Cricetulus griseus: one gene and its partner. The protein of the gene in region 1 interacts with the protein of each later gene in a biochemical or structural test. Links are inferred from orthologs where the notes say so. Each region holds a gene or a part of one and is shown in the gene's direction. Other genes may lie near its edges.

Region 1 (7,837 bases):
CAACACACAGCATAAACAAACAATCCTAAGAACCACAGACAATAGGCTCACAGCAGGGAGTACCTCTCCTGCAGTGGCCCTAGGTTTAGGGCTGGGACTTCCATTCCTCTGGATTCAGGACAGCGAGTCTCCTGAGGGCCTGGTGTGGAGTCTGGCTCAGAACCGGCAGCACTCAGCTTGATGGACTGGTTTGTCTTAGGTTAACGGAGGAGAGCTCCAGGACATAGAGTCGTGGTACACTCTAAAATTCCTAGTTCTGAGCTGGGCCTTAAATAATTCGCTAAATTGTGCTAATCACACTTTGCCACACTTCACACATTTTCACTCTTATCTACAGCGGCTGGGCTGCGTAGTGGGCCTATACTCCCTTTCCTTTAATCTTTCTTCAGCCAAGCCTTTGCCTGCCTGGTTGTAGCCTCTGTGCTAATCTCCAGCCAGGCCTTTGCCTGCCTGGTTACAAGGCTCCTTACAATGGGGCCGCTGGAAGTGAATGAACTGGCTTTTGGAGCCCATTCCCTTTGGAGGGATACCTTGTTCAGCCTAGATACAGGGGAGAGGGGCCTCGGTCCTGCCCCAAATGATGTGACAGACTTTGACCCTTCTGATTGGAAGGCTTCACCCTCTCTGGGAGTGGATGGCGGGTGGGATGGGGAGGTGGAGGGGCAAGAGGGAGGGTGGGAGGGAGAGGGAACTGGGATTGATATGTAAAATAAGATTGCATTTAAATAAAAAAGTTGTGTGTGTGTGTGGGGAGATACTTATCTCCAGAGTGCTTCAAGGAGAAGTTTAAAGTACTCTGTGAATTCCACTTACTTTGGCTTGCTCTACAGCCTCAAGCTCTTGAATTTTGATGTGAGGGTTTTAGGAGAAATGGGTGAAATGGGTTCAGAGTCAGGCACTACAGAATTGAATCTTGGTCCAGTGAGATGACTCAGCTGGGAAAGCGCTTCCTGCCAAGTGTGATGACCAGAGTTTGATCCCTGAAACTTACTTAAAGGTCGAAGGAGAGAACTGACTCCACAACTTGTCATTCACCTCCACACTCACTGTGGGTGTGCACAGATATACACATGGCACATACACATTTTACCGCATGCGCGCGTGTGCACACACACATGCGCACATGGAATAAAATTTATTTTAAAAAAGTATCTTATCTCCATGGCTCAAATTCAACATTGATCATGAGCCTTATTGGGTTTTATTGATAGGACCCTTTAAGGGTCATAGTAAGGCAGTAAAACAATTTTACCCATGGCTCAATATTGACAAAACACCATAACTTGTAAAAGGCAATACTGGTAACATTAACATCTTTATGTATGATGTGCAGCAGTTGCTATAAATACCATATTCTGATCACTCATTTCTTTGAAAATGATTTTCTTGTATTTATTCTTCATAAAATACTTGTATTTGAAGAATGTTGAGTAGTGCATTCGGCTGTTGTGATTAATGCAGCTGCCTTCCCTATTCAGATTGTATGCAGGCCCTGAGGTGGATATCTGGAGCAGTGGGGTCATTCTCTATGCCTTGTTATGTGGAACCCTCCCCTTTGATGATGACCACGTGCCAACTCTTTTTAAGAAGATATGCGATGGGATTTTCTATACCCCTCAGTATTTAAATCCCTCTGTGATCAGCCTTTTGAAGCATATGCTGCAGGTAGATCCCATGAAGAGGGCCACAATAAAAGACATCAGGTAACTTTAAACCAGTGTACTTTTCTACCTCTTTGAGTCTCAAGATAAAATTTCATTTTATTAATGACGTATTTTTTTTCTAGCAGTACACTTTGAGTCATAGGAAATTGAGTTTTATAGATAATGTTGCATTGTGTGTGGTTGAACCTCATAGTTTACGTAAGGCGGAACTGATGGTGGCAGATATACGTTTCTCAAGTTGAGGTGAGCCATTTCTCATGAACACTCAGAGTACCTAATGGAGTCTTTGTTCTGCCATCAATGTTGTCTTATCCCCCTCCCTTTTTGTTCTCCTTAATTCTTTGAGATTCTGATGGCTAGACTGTACATTTTTCTGGTACTGGAGGAAGGAAGGAAGGAAGGAAGGATAGAAGGAAGGAAGAGAAGGAAGGGAGGGAGGGAGGGAGGGAGGGAGGGAGGGAGGGAGGGAGGGAAAAAGAAAGAAAGAAATGAAGGAAGGAAAACTGTATGCCTGTAGGAGTTAATAAATAAGAAAGCCTTGGGGTAACCAGGAAGAGCGGGAAGAGACTAACATGTGAATTTAAGCTTTATTCCTTTCCACTTACCCCTCATGCTAAAAGTCCTGCTGAAGCTAGGCAGTGGTGACATACACCTTTAATCCCAGTACTCGGGAAGTAGAGGCAGTTGGAACTCTGTGAGTTCAAGGCCAGCCTGGTCTACAGAGTTTGTTCAAGACAGCCAGGGCTATATAGAGAGACCCTGCCTGCTGAAAAGGAGATCCCAAGTGGCAGGGCATGGCTTTAGCTCCCAGATGGGAAGGGAAACTGGTTCTATTAAATTGATGTTGTAAAATATCCAAGTGAGAAGTAGATTTGCATGTTTTAGGTATTTTTTTCATAATTAAAATCTGATAGAAATGCTACGCATGGTGGCACACAGCCATAATTCCAGTACTTGGGAAGCTGAAGGAGGATGGCAGTGAGTTTGATTCCAGCCTGGTCTACATGGTGAGATTCTGTCTCAAGACCAGTCTCCATTTGGAAACAAACAAATGCCCTTAAAATTACAAAACAAAACAAAACAAAACAAAAACAAGAGAATAAAATAATACTTTTGGTCAGTTTCTTAGACAATAACCATTATTCTTTGGGGTATTTTCTTCTGTGTTTTGGTGTTGTTTTCATTTTCATTTTTGTTTTTTAAGTTTTAGCATAGTTCTTGATATGGTTCAATATCCATTTATATGTGCAGTTAAATGATATAATAGGGAATCATTCAGAGAATAGCCTTTTGAGTCATACAGAATTGGGTCATGAGGATGAGGATAAATTTTATGTGTATGAATTGCTTAGCCTGAAACTAATTATACAGTAAGAAGTTTTTTTTTTTTTTTTTTTCATGTAACATGAGGCAGTATAAACAAGAGAATACAGTGAAGCTACACAACATAGTTTCTTTCTGAGCTGGAAAAAAATCTGTACTTTGTCATTGTCATTTGGGTAGACATACCTTTTCATTTGGCTGCAGCAATCCTTAAAAATTAGTGCCAGGGCCGGGCAGTGGTGCTGCATGCCTTTAATCTCAGCACTCGGGAGGCAGAGGCAGGTGGATCTCTGTGAGTTTGAGGCCAGCTTGGTCTATTGAGTGAGTTTCAGGACAGTCAGGGTTATACAGAGAAACCCTGTATTAATGCCGAGCCCCCCCCCCCCCCGCCGCCTCTCCCCCCCAAAAAAACCCCTAGCAGCAGGCTACAACATTTTTCTCAACATACTCAGTGAAGTATGAGCTAGAAGAAGAAAAAGTTAAAAAAAAAATGGTAGTAATATAGTGTGGGTAGAAATTAAATTAATTCATTTCTTAAACTCTTGAAAGTTATTGTTTTTATTCTTGGTTTTACTCAAAATTCTTCCCCTCACACTGCTGTTTCCTCTTAGGGAACATGAATGGTTTAAACAGGACCTTCCAAAATATCTCTTTCCGGAGGATCCATCATACAGTTCAACCATGATTGATGATGAAGCCTTAAAAGAAGTGTGTGAAAAGTTTGAATGTTCGGAGGAGGAGGTTCTCAGCTGCCTTTACAATAGAAACCACCAGGACCCATTGGCAGTTGCCTACCACCTCATAATTGATAACAGGAGGATAATGAACGAAGCCAAAGATTTCTACTTGGCAACAAGCCCACCTGATTCTTTCCTAGACGACCACCATTTAACTCGGCCACATCCTGAAAGGGTACCATTCTTGGTTGCTGAAACACCAAGGGCACGGCACACCCTTGATGAATTAAACCCACAGAAATCCAAACACCAAGGTGTGCGGAAAGCAAAGTGGCATTTGGGAATTAGAAGTCAAAGTCGGCCAAATGATATTATGGCAGAAGTTTGTAGAGCAATCAAGCAATTGGATTATGAATGGAAGGTAAGAAGGCAAGCATTCTACCTAACACATTTGGGAAACCTGCAGACAAAAAGTCTTTTGTAGAAGAATTGATTGGATGTGCCTTTGTTTTTGTCCATATCATATGCTAGGTTGTAAACCCCTATTATTTGCGTGTACGAAGGAAGAACCCCGTGACAAGCACATTTTCCAAAATGAGTCTACAGCTATACCAAGTGGATAGTCGGACTTACTTACTGGATTTCCGTAGTATTGATGGTATGTACACAAAAACCCATAGAGGTAATATGGTATACCTGTTTAACTAATTTGGTTTATAGTTTTTTCTTTTCTTTTGTTTTGAATTAAAACTAAGCATGAAAAGTAGTAAGTTCCTCCCTCCCTCCCTCCCCCTCCCCCTTTTCCTCACCCACCCATGTGTACATGGGGTGAGGGCAGCAGAGGTCAATGTCAGCTGCCTTCTCCATCACTCTCCATCTTACTTTTGAGATAAGGCCTCTTTCCAAACAGGAGGTTGCCCCTTAGGCTAGACTTACTGGCCTGCAAGCCCCAGGGATCCTCTCATTTCCAGCCTTCAGTGTTGGGGTTATAGATGTGCACCTCCTGGCCTGGCTTTTACATAGGTGCCGAGGATTGGAATTGAGGTCCTTATGCAGTGCGGCAGGCTCTTTATCTACCAAGTCATCTCCCTAGCCTCCAGTATGATACTTTCATACAGATACTTTGTTTTTAATCATCCTCCCCCACTGCCCTCTCCATCTTCAACCTTTGTGTCTAATGAAACTTCCTGGCTTTTTCCTGGGAAGTAATAGTAAATGTGACTTCTGTGCTCCATGACACCGACAACTGTGAATCCTGTTATTCTTGTTCCATGTAGTACATTGTTCTTTTACAGTTCATCATCCCGGGGCTAGGAATTTAGTTCAGTAGTGAAGTTCTTGTCTAGCATACACAAAACACTGTCTTCAATCACCACTCCCATCTCTCCCAAGGTAGAAAATGATTATTGTCCTGTAAAATCTTTAAAAATATACAGCTTAATTCTAAAGTGATAATTTTCTTTCATATTTCTGTTGCTTTGTTCATTCTGGCAACATAAATTTTTTATTGAAAAGCAAAGGTTGATGTTACTGTAGTTTTATTTACTATTAAGTACTTTAAGAAAATAAATACAAGATTATGGCTGTCCTTCCAAATCAGTTAACCAGTATTATGGGAGGATATTTAGAATTACTACTTACAGACTCAAAGTCAGCACCTACAGAGTTTAAGAAAGACAAAGGCTTGAGCTGTGATATATTCTGGCCAACATGATGGAATGGTTATTTACTTTTGAGAAAGGGTCTTCTATGTAGGCTGGCCTGGTTTGGAGGGACAGTCCTCTTTGTTTCATCTCTGAGTGCTGGTTACAGGTGTGCACCATGCTCAGATGTCTGGATAACATGTACCTGTCATCTAACACACATCAGTACAGTTTGAGGTCGGGAGCCAGCTTTATTTTTCTCTTGGTATTTAGATAATTTTGCAGTCATAGTTATATCAACTCTTGGACTTGACCAAGTGAATGAATACTTACTATTTCTATATTTCTGCTCTAGTACTATTTCTACTTGTATTCTGTTCCCAACTAGTTTCTCTTTGATTTCACTTTTAGTGTTACTTTTGTGGTGCTAGAGATGAATCCAGGCCTTTTCAATAAGCTCTAGCCCCAGCCCTCTTTTTACTTGTTATTTTGAAGGAAGGTCTCACAAGTTACCCAGGTTGTCCTTGAACTCTCTAGCTCAGGTAGGCCTTGAACTTATGACCCTCCTGCTTTAGCTTCCTGAGTAGCTGGGATTGAAGGCCTGTACCACTAGTCCCTGCTTTTCTGGTTTTGCTTATTGCAATTGTTGCTCTGTTATGCTCGCAGATGAAATAGGAGAAACTGCAGAGTGAAAAGCACTGAACTGAAGTTGGGAGGGTAGAGTGCCCAAATGGCCGAACCTTTCTGTTCATTTGTTTCCTTGAACAAATCATTGTTTTCTCTGGCTTTGTTTTATATTAGTAAAATGGTTCTTGGCTGAGATGATTTCCAAGATATCATCCATATTTCAAGAGATTGATTCTGTGCTTTTAATAGAAAAGACTTTTAGTGGTAGGGGATTTTTTTTTTTTTTAAATTAAAACTCAGGTTATTAGTTTCCTGGCTCTTAGTGTAAAAGTCAAGAGTGATAGATTGTGTACCCTGTGTGAACTGGTCATCCATCATAGGCATTCTCCATGCTGTGTGGAGAAACTGTGAGTGAGTGGCTTAATCCAGGCACAGTACCCCCATTTGAGAATGTATTTAAATTACACATGCTCTGGGGAGCTAGTCAGTAGTCTCACTTAAAGAATCTGATCCATACTGTTGGACCTCTCAAGGGACAAATAGTAACATGTGGGAATTCTTTTCACCCAGATGAAATAACAGAAGCCAAATCAGGGACGGCTACTCCACAGAGATCGGGATCCATCAGCAACTATCGGTCTTGCCAAAGGAGTGACTCTGATGCTGAGGCTCAAGGAAAGCCGTCAGAAGTTTCTCTTACCTCATCTGTGACCTCACTCGACTCTTCTCCGGTTGACTTAGCTCCAAGACCAGGAAGTCACACAATAGAATTTTTTGAAATGTGTGCAAATCTAATTAAAATTCTTGCACAGTAAACCTAAAACTTTGCTTATTTCTTTGATGCAATAAGCATGCATAATAAATTATAGCCAAACACTTCCACTTATCAAGTTTTACATATATATATATGTGTGTATATATATATACATATATATATGCATATATCTAAGGATTGGCCTTTGGAATGCAGTTTGCACAGGGATTGGAAAATGATAAAAGCCTAATGTGCGGAAATGAATTGGGACCATTCTGTTGTCCCTTATTCAATAGATATATACAGCAAAATATATACAGAATGGATTGTAGGTCTCACTTGATTTTTGACCATTTTAATTTGGTGTAACAGGGCTTTGTAGGCCATAAATTTACCATAAAAGCCTTCACATATGTTGATGTGTTTTATATTTGCTTCATGAATTAATTATTTGCCTAGAATTCCCCATAGACCTTCTTAAGTGATGCTGTTTTCTGGGCTCCTTAGCTTCTTAAATAGCTACTATTTCCATTTCTGGTAACATTGTGAACGATTTCCACAACATTAAAATGCTGTTTTGTGTGGTAAGTCATACCAGATACAGACTCAATTTAAATCTTTTCTTTAGCTTGTAAGCCCCCAAATCCATAGAATTTATGTATTCAGAAACCCTGAGCCCTAAGTTTACTTCTACAATTTCCCCCTTTGATTTGTATATGAAGTGCTGCTTTGGATCCAAGAGTGGAGTTGCTCATACTGTACTGAATCATGTTTTTTCACTGTCATGGATTCTTCTGGCTGTCATGCCAGCCACTGTTGAATGTCATTTGATTGTATATTTTTAATATTGATTCAGTGCATAGAAAGGACATTTTTTATAAGCTTTGAATACGTGGATTGGATTTTTGACCCCTGATTTTATTCTGGACATTTAAAAAAAAAATACAGTGATCGCATGTATGTCTACTACTTAGTTCCAACAACTCCTATTTGGCTGCATTTGCTCTCTAGATGCACATATGTACAAAAACAGATATGCATATATGTTTGAATGTATGTATGCTTTTGTTCTGAACCACTGAGATGTTAAGAAACACATACTCAGTCCTAAATACTTAAGCATCTCCTAAAAATAATATTGTCCTTTAA
Region 2 (7,937 bases), on another chromosome or scaffold:
GGGTTCTGCCAACCTGGTATGGGCCAACCCGGAATCTTTTCCCAAAGGCCAAATTGGGGGATGGGGGGTGGGGGGTTGGGGGTGTCCAATACTCTTCTCATCTCTACAAGACTAGAGGAATGACAAGGGAGTAAGAAAGGAGCCAGAAGTCACTCATTCCCAAGATTTGCCAACTTATTTTAGGAGTGTGGCTGATACTCAAGCGTCCCGTGGCTGAGGGGTGGCTCTGAGAGCAGGAGCTGAGAACCTTTGCAGACCAAGAGTCAAATGTACTGATCCTTCCCCCAGAAGTAAACAGGAGCATTTGATGATGCCACAAGGGAGCTTCAGAAAACAAGTGATGAAGGGATGCTCAACTCCAGTGGGTGAGGAGCAGGCAAGGCAGCTCCTCTGCCAGCTAGGCCCATACCCCAAGCTACACTTCAAGAAATGCCCACTATTACAAGGCACTGACCCTCTAGGTTCTATTGTCCCCCAGAGGCCATAATGGCCTGCACATATCCTCTTTGGTTCCTGTGAAGGAACTAAAGGAAGACTAGCAAAGGAAACCCTAGTCCTTCAGAGTCCGGTTGTGCATGGGGTCTACCACATTACTTTTCTCCCTGTTTTATGGTTGGCATCACCATCTTAGCCAAGCTGAGGTCCAAAACAACTTTTAAATTCTCCCTGTAGGGGTCTAACAAGCAAAGGAGGATGAAAGCAGCTTCAGGTCACAAGTCTCAGTCCGGGTCTCACAATCCTAGGAAAGAAGGTGGTACCTGAGGGTGGCAGAGATAGAGCAAGGTAGTGGTAGGCAGGGACTCTGTGAAAGGCAGAGTCTCTGTGGGCAAGGCTGCCCCACACACACCCCGCCCCCAACCTCCAGTTCCTGGGAAAAGGATCTGCAGCAGTCCCATCCATCTCAGGCATCCCAGGAAGGTCTGGGAAGCATTCATTTTAAACTTAGACTTCCAGGCTAGCTCAGAAATGCTGATTCTTTTGGACGTCCTAGGGAGAGATCAAGAAAAAAAACAGGTAACAGGGCTTGGTGGAGCAGGCCTCTGATTTTAGTAGTAGGATGGTAAAGGTCAGCCAGAGAGCTGCACAGTGACACCCTATCTTGGGAAGGGGATGAAGAGAGGAAAAGAGGGCGGTAAGGGAGGAAGAGGAAAAAAAGAAAGGAAGCAAAGGGTCTGGGCCAGGCATTGGTGGCCCACACCTTTAATCCCAGCACTGGGGAGGCAGAGGCAGGCAGATTTCAGTGAGTTCGAGGCCAGCCTGTTGTACAAAATGAGTTCCAGGATAGCCAGGACTGTTACGCAGAGAAACCTGATCTTTATTTTTTAAATATCCCCCCCCCGCTTTTTTTTTAAGATTTTATTTATTTATTATGTATACAACTTTCTGCTTCCATGTATATCTGCACACAAGAAGAGGGTACCAGATCTCATTAAAGATAGTTGTAAGCTACTATGTGATTGCTGTGAATTGAACTCAGGACCTCTGGAAGAGCAGACAGTGCTCTTAACCCTTGAGCCATCTCTCCAGCCCCCTAAGAAACCCTGTCTTGAAAAGGAAAGAAAAAAGAAAGAAAGGAAGGGAGAGGGAGAGAGAGAGAGAGAGAGAGAGAGAGAGAGGGAGGGAGGGAGGGAGGGAGGGAGGGAGGAGAGGGAGGAAGGAAGGAAGGAAGGAAGGAAGGAAGGAGTATGAGATGTAGCTCACTGGCAGCATGCTTGTCTAGCAAGACAGTCTAGATTCAATCCCCAAGACCAGAGGAAAAAGAGAATGACTTTTTTTTCCAAAGGGAAATAAATGTCAGTTCATCGAAAGGAAGCTAGAATGTGGGTGTAGTGATTCACCTTTCTATTTACGAAAAGCAGTACAGAGACACAGAAAGGTGCTAGCATGACCCACCTAAAGGGCAGCAAACTGATTATGGGGTGAGTAAGGACAGGTGACTTCCAGGACCACCACAGAAACAAAACAATAGAAAATGAAAGTCATTCAGTTGGGTTTACCAAGGACACAGGTGATATATAACCTTAGGGTCCTAAAAAGACACTCATCAGGCTGTAAAGGAACACATCTAGGACAGCACCCTGTGTAGTCCAGAGAGTCGGGAAGGAGCGGGGGGGGGGGGGGGGGGGGGGGGGGGGGGGGGGGGGGGGGGGGGGGCGGGGGCCTGCAAGAGGCCCAGAAAGCAAGTGGCCTTAAGTGAGAAGCCCTAGTCTTTGCACAGCTGGGCAACCACAGGGTGCAGCAGCCTTGCCACTATACTCGCCTAACATGTTCCTTTCCAAATGCCTTCAATGTACCTTGCTCAGCGCTTACCCTAATCTAGCAGGTTCTGTGCCAACTCTCACTGTTCAGCCCTCATATACCAGTCAAGAACCTTTGCAATAGAACATGATCACAGGAGATTGCTTTCGCATCTGCCTATGTCTTTACTCCAAACTTCACTTTTTTTATTTTTGGTTTTTGGAGACAGGGTTTCTCTGTGTAACATTCTTAGCTGCCCAGGAAATCACTCTGTAGGATAGGCTGGCCTCAAACTCATTGAGATCCGCCTGCCTCTGCCTCCCGAGTGCTGGGATTAAAGACATGCGCCACCACCACCCAGCTCCCTACTTCACTCTTAACCACATTGCCTTACTCTACCACAAGATGTAAATTATTGCAAACAAAATGGCCATCTGGCTTTTTCTTTCTTTCTTCTGTTCATAGCTGTATCCTAAAGCCTAAAACAGCAGTTCAGCAACAGAACTAAAATAAATAAATGTGACCTTTAGTTCATAGATGTTAGTGGTTGCTACCATCCTAACTGGTGGTCCTTTTTAAAAATATTTAAACTGGAGAGATGGCTAAGAGGTTGAAAGCACTGGCTGTTGTTCTTCAAGAGGTCCAGAGTTCAATTCCCAGCAACCACAAGGTGGCTCACTACCATCCATAACGAGATTTGCTCTCTTCTGGCGTGCAGGAACATATGCAGGCAGAACACTATATGGATAAATAAATTTAAAAATTAAAAAAAAAATAGGCGGGCTGGGCGTTGGTGGCGCACGCCTTTAATCCCAGCACTAGGGAGGCAGAGGCAGGCGGATCTCTTGGAATTCGAGACCAGCCTGGTCTACAGAGTGAGTTCCAGGATAGGCTCCAAAGCCACAGAGAAACCCTGTCTCGAAACCCAATTCCCCCCCAAAAAAACCAAACAAACGAAAAAAAAAAGTTGTAAAATTTAAGGAGAGATCTGTGACATCGGAGGGCCACTGCAAACTTAAGTGTTGAGATTAAGGTCATCAGGTTACCAAATTATCAGTGTTCCTCCGCTTCCCTGTCCAGCCACTTCTTTCAGGGCTACACAAGACAAACTAGCAGGCTTTTCTGTGGAATGGTCAGAGTCACAGAAAGGGATTCCAATAAAAATCCCTTAAAACAAAAGGGCCAGATTGGACGGCACACGCCTTTAATTGCAACTTCAAATATACTTCCTTAGGTCATAGCTTAAATCGGAGTCGCCAACCCAGGAACCGGAACACCAAGCGAAAAGGGCGGGGCGCCGTCTCTGCCACGTAGCCGGGGAGGGAGGAGCCGCTGCAGTATGGCGATGAGCCGGTCGTCTTACTTTTCCTTCCTGAACACGTACTAATCTGCCGAGGAGCCTTTATTAAAACCCAGTAAAGCTTACTTAAGAACGCATTTGTTCAGCAGTCGCCAAATTATGTTCCGTGGCAGAAGAAACGGCGACATTGCGACTTACCGCGCCCAGCCCCTCCCACTACCTGGTGACGCCATCTTTGAGCAGCAGGGAATCATGGGAACCCCCGCCTTGCTCTCCGGGTATTTCCGGTTCCGCCGGAGGCCGCTCTTTCTTTTTCTCCGCGGCGTCGCTGTGGCTGCCGCTGTGGTGCTTGGCTCTCTGAGCTATCCGGTGCCATCCTTGTCGCTGCGGCGACACTCGTATCAGCTGCAGCCATGACGGAGCAGATGACCCTTCGTGGGACCCTCAAAGGCCATAACGGCTGGGTAACACAGATCGCCACCACCCCGCAGTTCCCAGACATGATTCTGTCTGCGTCTCGAGGTACGGGCTGCATGCCGGGCGAAATAGCGCGTTTCCCGGGGACTGCGCGTCTCCTGGCTTCGCAGGTGGCGCGTGGGTTGGCTGGCTTGGTCCATTCCCCCACCCAGTTATGAGTTGGGGCGTGCAGACCCGAACCTGGGCCCCAACTAGGGCGACCCTTTGCACATGGACGGAAACCGAGAGGTGTCGCATAACTCCCATAAGATTAGGTGACTAAATCTCTTCGTCTGTCTTCTCGAGATATATTTAAGTAGTTAGGGAGCTACAAGCCAGGCGGAGCAATGATGACCCCAACATGCCATCTGAGCTACTTTGCTGAAATCCAGAGGCTGTTTCTGAGCTGCCGTCTGGCCCTGAGCTCTGAGCAGTGCGTAAACTAAGGCTTTTTATTTTTCCTCATGACTTATCTTTATCATGATTTGCCCACCCAGGTCTCCCTATCTGCCCAAATTTATGTTCATTCTCGTGTGAAGCTTATCAGGCACTTTATTCGTTTCTGTATGGTTTGACATGGTGCATGGCTAGGACTGTCTTATTCTACCATAGCTACTGCATTTCTAGTCAACCCTTAAAGGCACAAAAGGTGGTCTGCTTATCCCACACCCAAGTGACTTTGCTACTTTTGAGTTAGCCTTGTGCTGGAGTGATGATAGATAAAACTGGCTCCTCAAGGGGACTAGGTAAGGTTTGTTTCCCAGAACCCACATGGTGACTTGCAATTGTAGGTAGTTACAGGGAATCTGACACCCTCTTCTAAAAACAACATGGGCACACATGGAGGGGAAACATTCAACACAAATTAATCTTGGGTTGGATTTGAGTTTCAATCCCAGCAAGTGTGGTACCCCATAGTCTCGGGTGTGCCTTACATCTTTTCAGTTCCTCTCACTGAATGTAGTGATGCTCCCCTTGTTATTACACCAGTAACCGTAAAGCACTGTAAATTATGCCCAGTATATAGGTGTGGGTGCCTATGTAATTTCTTCCCCAACCTTTTCAGACAAGACCATCATCATGTGGAAGCTAACCAGGGACGAGACCAACTATGGCATACCACAGCGTGCGCTTCGAGGTCACTCCCATTTTGTCAGTGATGTCGTTATCTCCTCTGATGGCCAGTTTGCCCTCTCAGGCTCCTGGGATGGAACACTGCGCCTCTGGGATCTCACAACGCAAGTAGCTGCTTTGGGACCTTGGGGGAGAGCTGGGCAAAATTGAGGTAGATTCCCGAGGGTGTGGTCTCCCTCGGAAATTGGTTTTTTTATGGAGGGTGGGGTAAGATGTTGGTGTTGACCTCTTTGAGGAGGGAGCTAGAGGGCTGTCGTGTAGTTGGAGCGTTTTTACCGGGTACCGCCAGCTGTTAAAATAAGTGTTTCATCTTGAAAGCTGTCCTAGATGAGCATTTGGCAGGTGTAATAGAGGATCCTAGTGATGACAAGAAGACATTGTCAACCAATCCCCACAAGGGAATGAGGACATGTCCTGCAATTCTGAATGGGTTCTCTGGCACATACCAAGAATGGGCTAATAATAGAACAAAGCCACATATAAGCTGTGTGGAGTGATAGAGCCTACTGGAGCAGCAATGTAGCCAAGAAAAGGGTCTGACTAAAAGGATAAGATTTGTCTAGAAAGTGACCAGGTTCTCCCATTTAGGGGCACCACCACGAGACGATTTGTAGGCCATACTAAGGATGTACTGAGTGTAGCCTTCTCCTCCGACAACCGGCAGATTGTGTCTGGATCTCGAGACAAGACCATAAAGTTATGGAATACTCTCGGTGTCTGCAAATACACTGTCCAGGTAAAGTGATGGAGGTAAAGGCTACAAGTTAGAGGTTATCTCCCAGCCCTTGGGGATTTTGTTGCAGTTTTGAGATGGTTCATTACTATGTAACCCTGCTTAGACTAGAACTTTGGTCTGCTTATTGCATGCTGGGATCAAAGCTGTGTGCCACCATCTAGCTCTTTTGTAATGTGTGGCATTTGTCTGGGATTTGGTTGGTTTTTACTATATATTTAATGCATTCTTGCTCATGAGTGGCTTGGGACTTGGGAGTTGATTTTTCTTCTGAGTTGGGGCATGGAACCCTAGGCCAAGGCATCTATTGGGCAGGCCCTTACACATGAGCAAATACCCAGATGTGTCCCATAACTTCCCTAAGGGTTAGGGGGTTTTAAAATCTCTACCTACCTCCTGGAAGTATGTTTAAGTACTTGGGGGCTACAAGCCAGGCAGAGCAGTGATGACTCCAACATGCCATCTGAGGTGCAGTGCTGAAATCCAGAGGCTGTTTCTGAGCTGTGCCTGGCACTGTGCTCCATGAGGAGGCATCCTAGGACTCAAATATGAATCAGCAGGCTTGACAAATGACTTTACCAACTGTTCTGTTGATCCAGAAGTATAGGTTTGCCAGAGAGTGCTGTTGCCCCACTTAGGGTAGTTATCTGTAGTCCTCTTACTTACCTTGCATCTTCTGTAGGATGAGAGTCATTCAGAATGGGTGTCTTGTGTCCGCTTCTCCCCGAACAGTAGCAACCCTATCATCGTCTCCTGTGGATGGGACAAGCTGGTCAAGGTGAGCTTCAACAATGGCCTGGCCCCATTAGAAATCTAAAAATGTTCCCATTCCTCTGAGATGGTAATCACTCCGGTTTGGAATGTTTTGCAAATTAAATTACCTTGGCTTTGGCTCTTGATGCTTTATCTAAGTTCATTAGGGATTGAGTTTGTTTTTGAGGCCAGATCTCACTCTGTATCTCTGATAGGCCTGTGTCAGCCACTCAAATATTGGGATTACATGCGCTTGCATAAAAACCTGTTATGAGTTACCTTTAAGGAAGATGCTATTCTTTCTTGTGGCCATAATCCTGGTCACTCACCTTTTTCCCTAGGTATGGAACTTGGCTAACTGCAAGCTGAAGACCAACCACATTGGCCACACTGGCTATCTGAACACAGTGACAGTCTCTCCAGATGGATCCCTCTGTGCTTCTGGAGGCAAGGTATTTAGGGGACCTCTGATCTTTATTTATGGAGAACACTTTCATCTGATAGCATGTACCAGTTAAAAGATGAGCTTAAAATGTGGGAATGTTTCTAAGGATTATCATAAAATATATAGAAAGGCATACCAAAGAAATTTTCCTTTAAAACTAAGTTGGTAGCTGAATAGATGGCTCTGGGATTAAGAGCACTGACTGTTCTCCCAGAGGTCCTGAGTTCAATTCCTAACAACTACATGGTGGCTCAAGACCATCTAATAAGATCTAGTGTCCTCTTCTGGATTAGGGCTACACACAGGCAAAACACACTGTATACATAAATAAAAGTAAGTTGATATACGTATTATACATTACAGGGAAGGTCTTAGGACCATGAACGCTGACACTTCAACCATTAGCTTTATCTATCCTAACTCACCATTTATGTCCGTCCAGGATGGCCAGGCTATGCTGTGGGATCTCAATGAAGGCAAGCACCTTTACACACTAGATGGTGGGGACATCATCAATGCCTTGTGCTTCAGCCCCAACCGCTACTGGCTCTGTGCTGCCACAGGCCCCAGTATCAAGATTTGGGTAAGTGATCTGTTGTGCACCACATTGATTTCAAGCTTTATTGGTAGATTCATCATTCAGCTGCTGTCAGTTGACAAGTTGGGATTATTTTTTCTTAACACTTAGCAGCACTGGGCAACATTTGACTAATAAAAGGGAATGCCCATATTTGGCAATTTGTTGAGTCATTTGGGCCAAAGTAATTCTCCTTTGAGAGGCTATTTTGTCAGCATATGTGGTATCTACTCACTAGATGACCATTAACAGTTACAGCCACACACCATGAAAGATAAGCAAAAATAATCCCAGTAGTGTG

The links. The genes of interacting proteins can lie anywhere in the genome.
Region 2: of the proteins of Prkaa1 (region 1) and Rack1, one has a biochemical effect on the other in vitro, tested with the Homo sapiens proteins (2 studies listed by BioGRID). The link is inferred for Cricetulus griseus from reciprocal best matches to the Homo sapiens genes PRKAA1 and RACK1.

Annotation. Positions count from the first base shown.
Region 1 is NC_048595.1:339,151,582-339,159,418, forward strand, and holds part of Prkaa1 (5'-AMP-activated protein kinase catalytic subunit alpha-1), read left to right. Parts: intron 1-1,478; coding exon 1,479-1,703; intron 1,704-3,598; coding exon 3,599-4,085; intron 4,086-4,195; coding exon 4,196-4,322; intron 4,323-6,504; coding exon 6,505-6,749; 3' UTR 6,750-7,837. UniProt on the Homo sapiens protein: Catalytic subunit of AMP-activated protein kinase (AMPK), an energy sensor protein kinase that plays a key role in regulating cellular energy metabolism.
Region 2 is NC_048600.1:63,454,723-63,462,659, forward strand, and holds the start of Rack1 (receptor of activated protein C kinase 1), read left to right. Parts: upstream 1-3,829; 5' UTR 3,830-3,951; coding exon 3,952-4,060; intron 4,061-4,335; exon of another isoform or gene 4,336-4,403; intron 4,404-5,060; coding exon 5,061-5,232; intron 5,233-5,481; exon of another isoform or gene 5,482-5,561; intron 5,562-5,716; coding exon 5,717-5,864; intron 5,865-6,297; exon of another isoform or gene 6,298-6,365; intron 6,366-6,543; coding exon 6,544-6,639; intron 6,640-6,955; coding exon 6,956-7,066; intron 7,067-7,501; coding exon 7,502-7,642; intron 7,643-7,937. UniProt on the Homo sapiens protein: Scaffolding protein involved in the recruitment, assembly and/or regulation of a variety of signaling molecules. Interacts with a wide variety of proteins and plays a role in many cellular processes.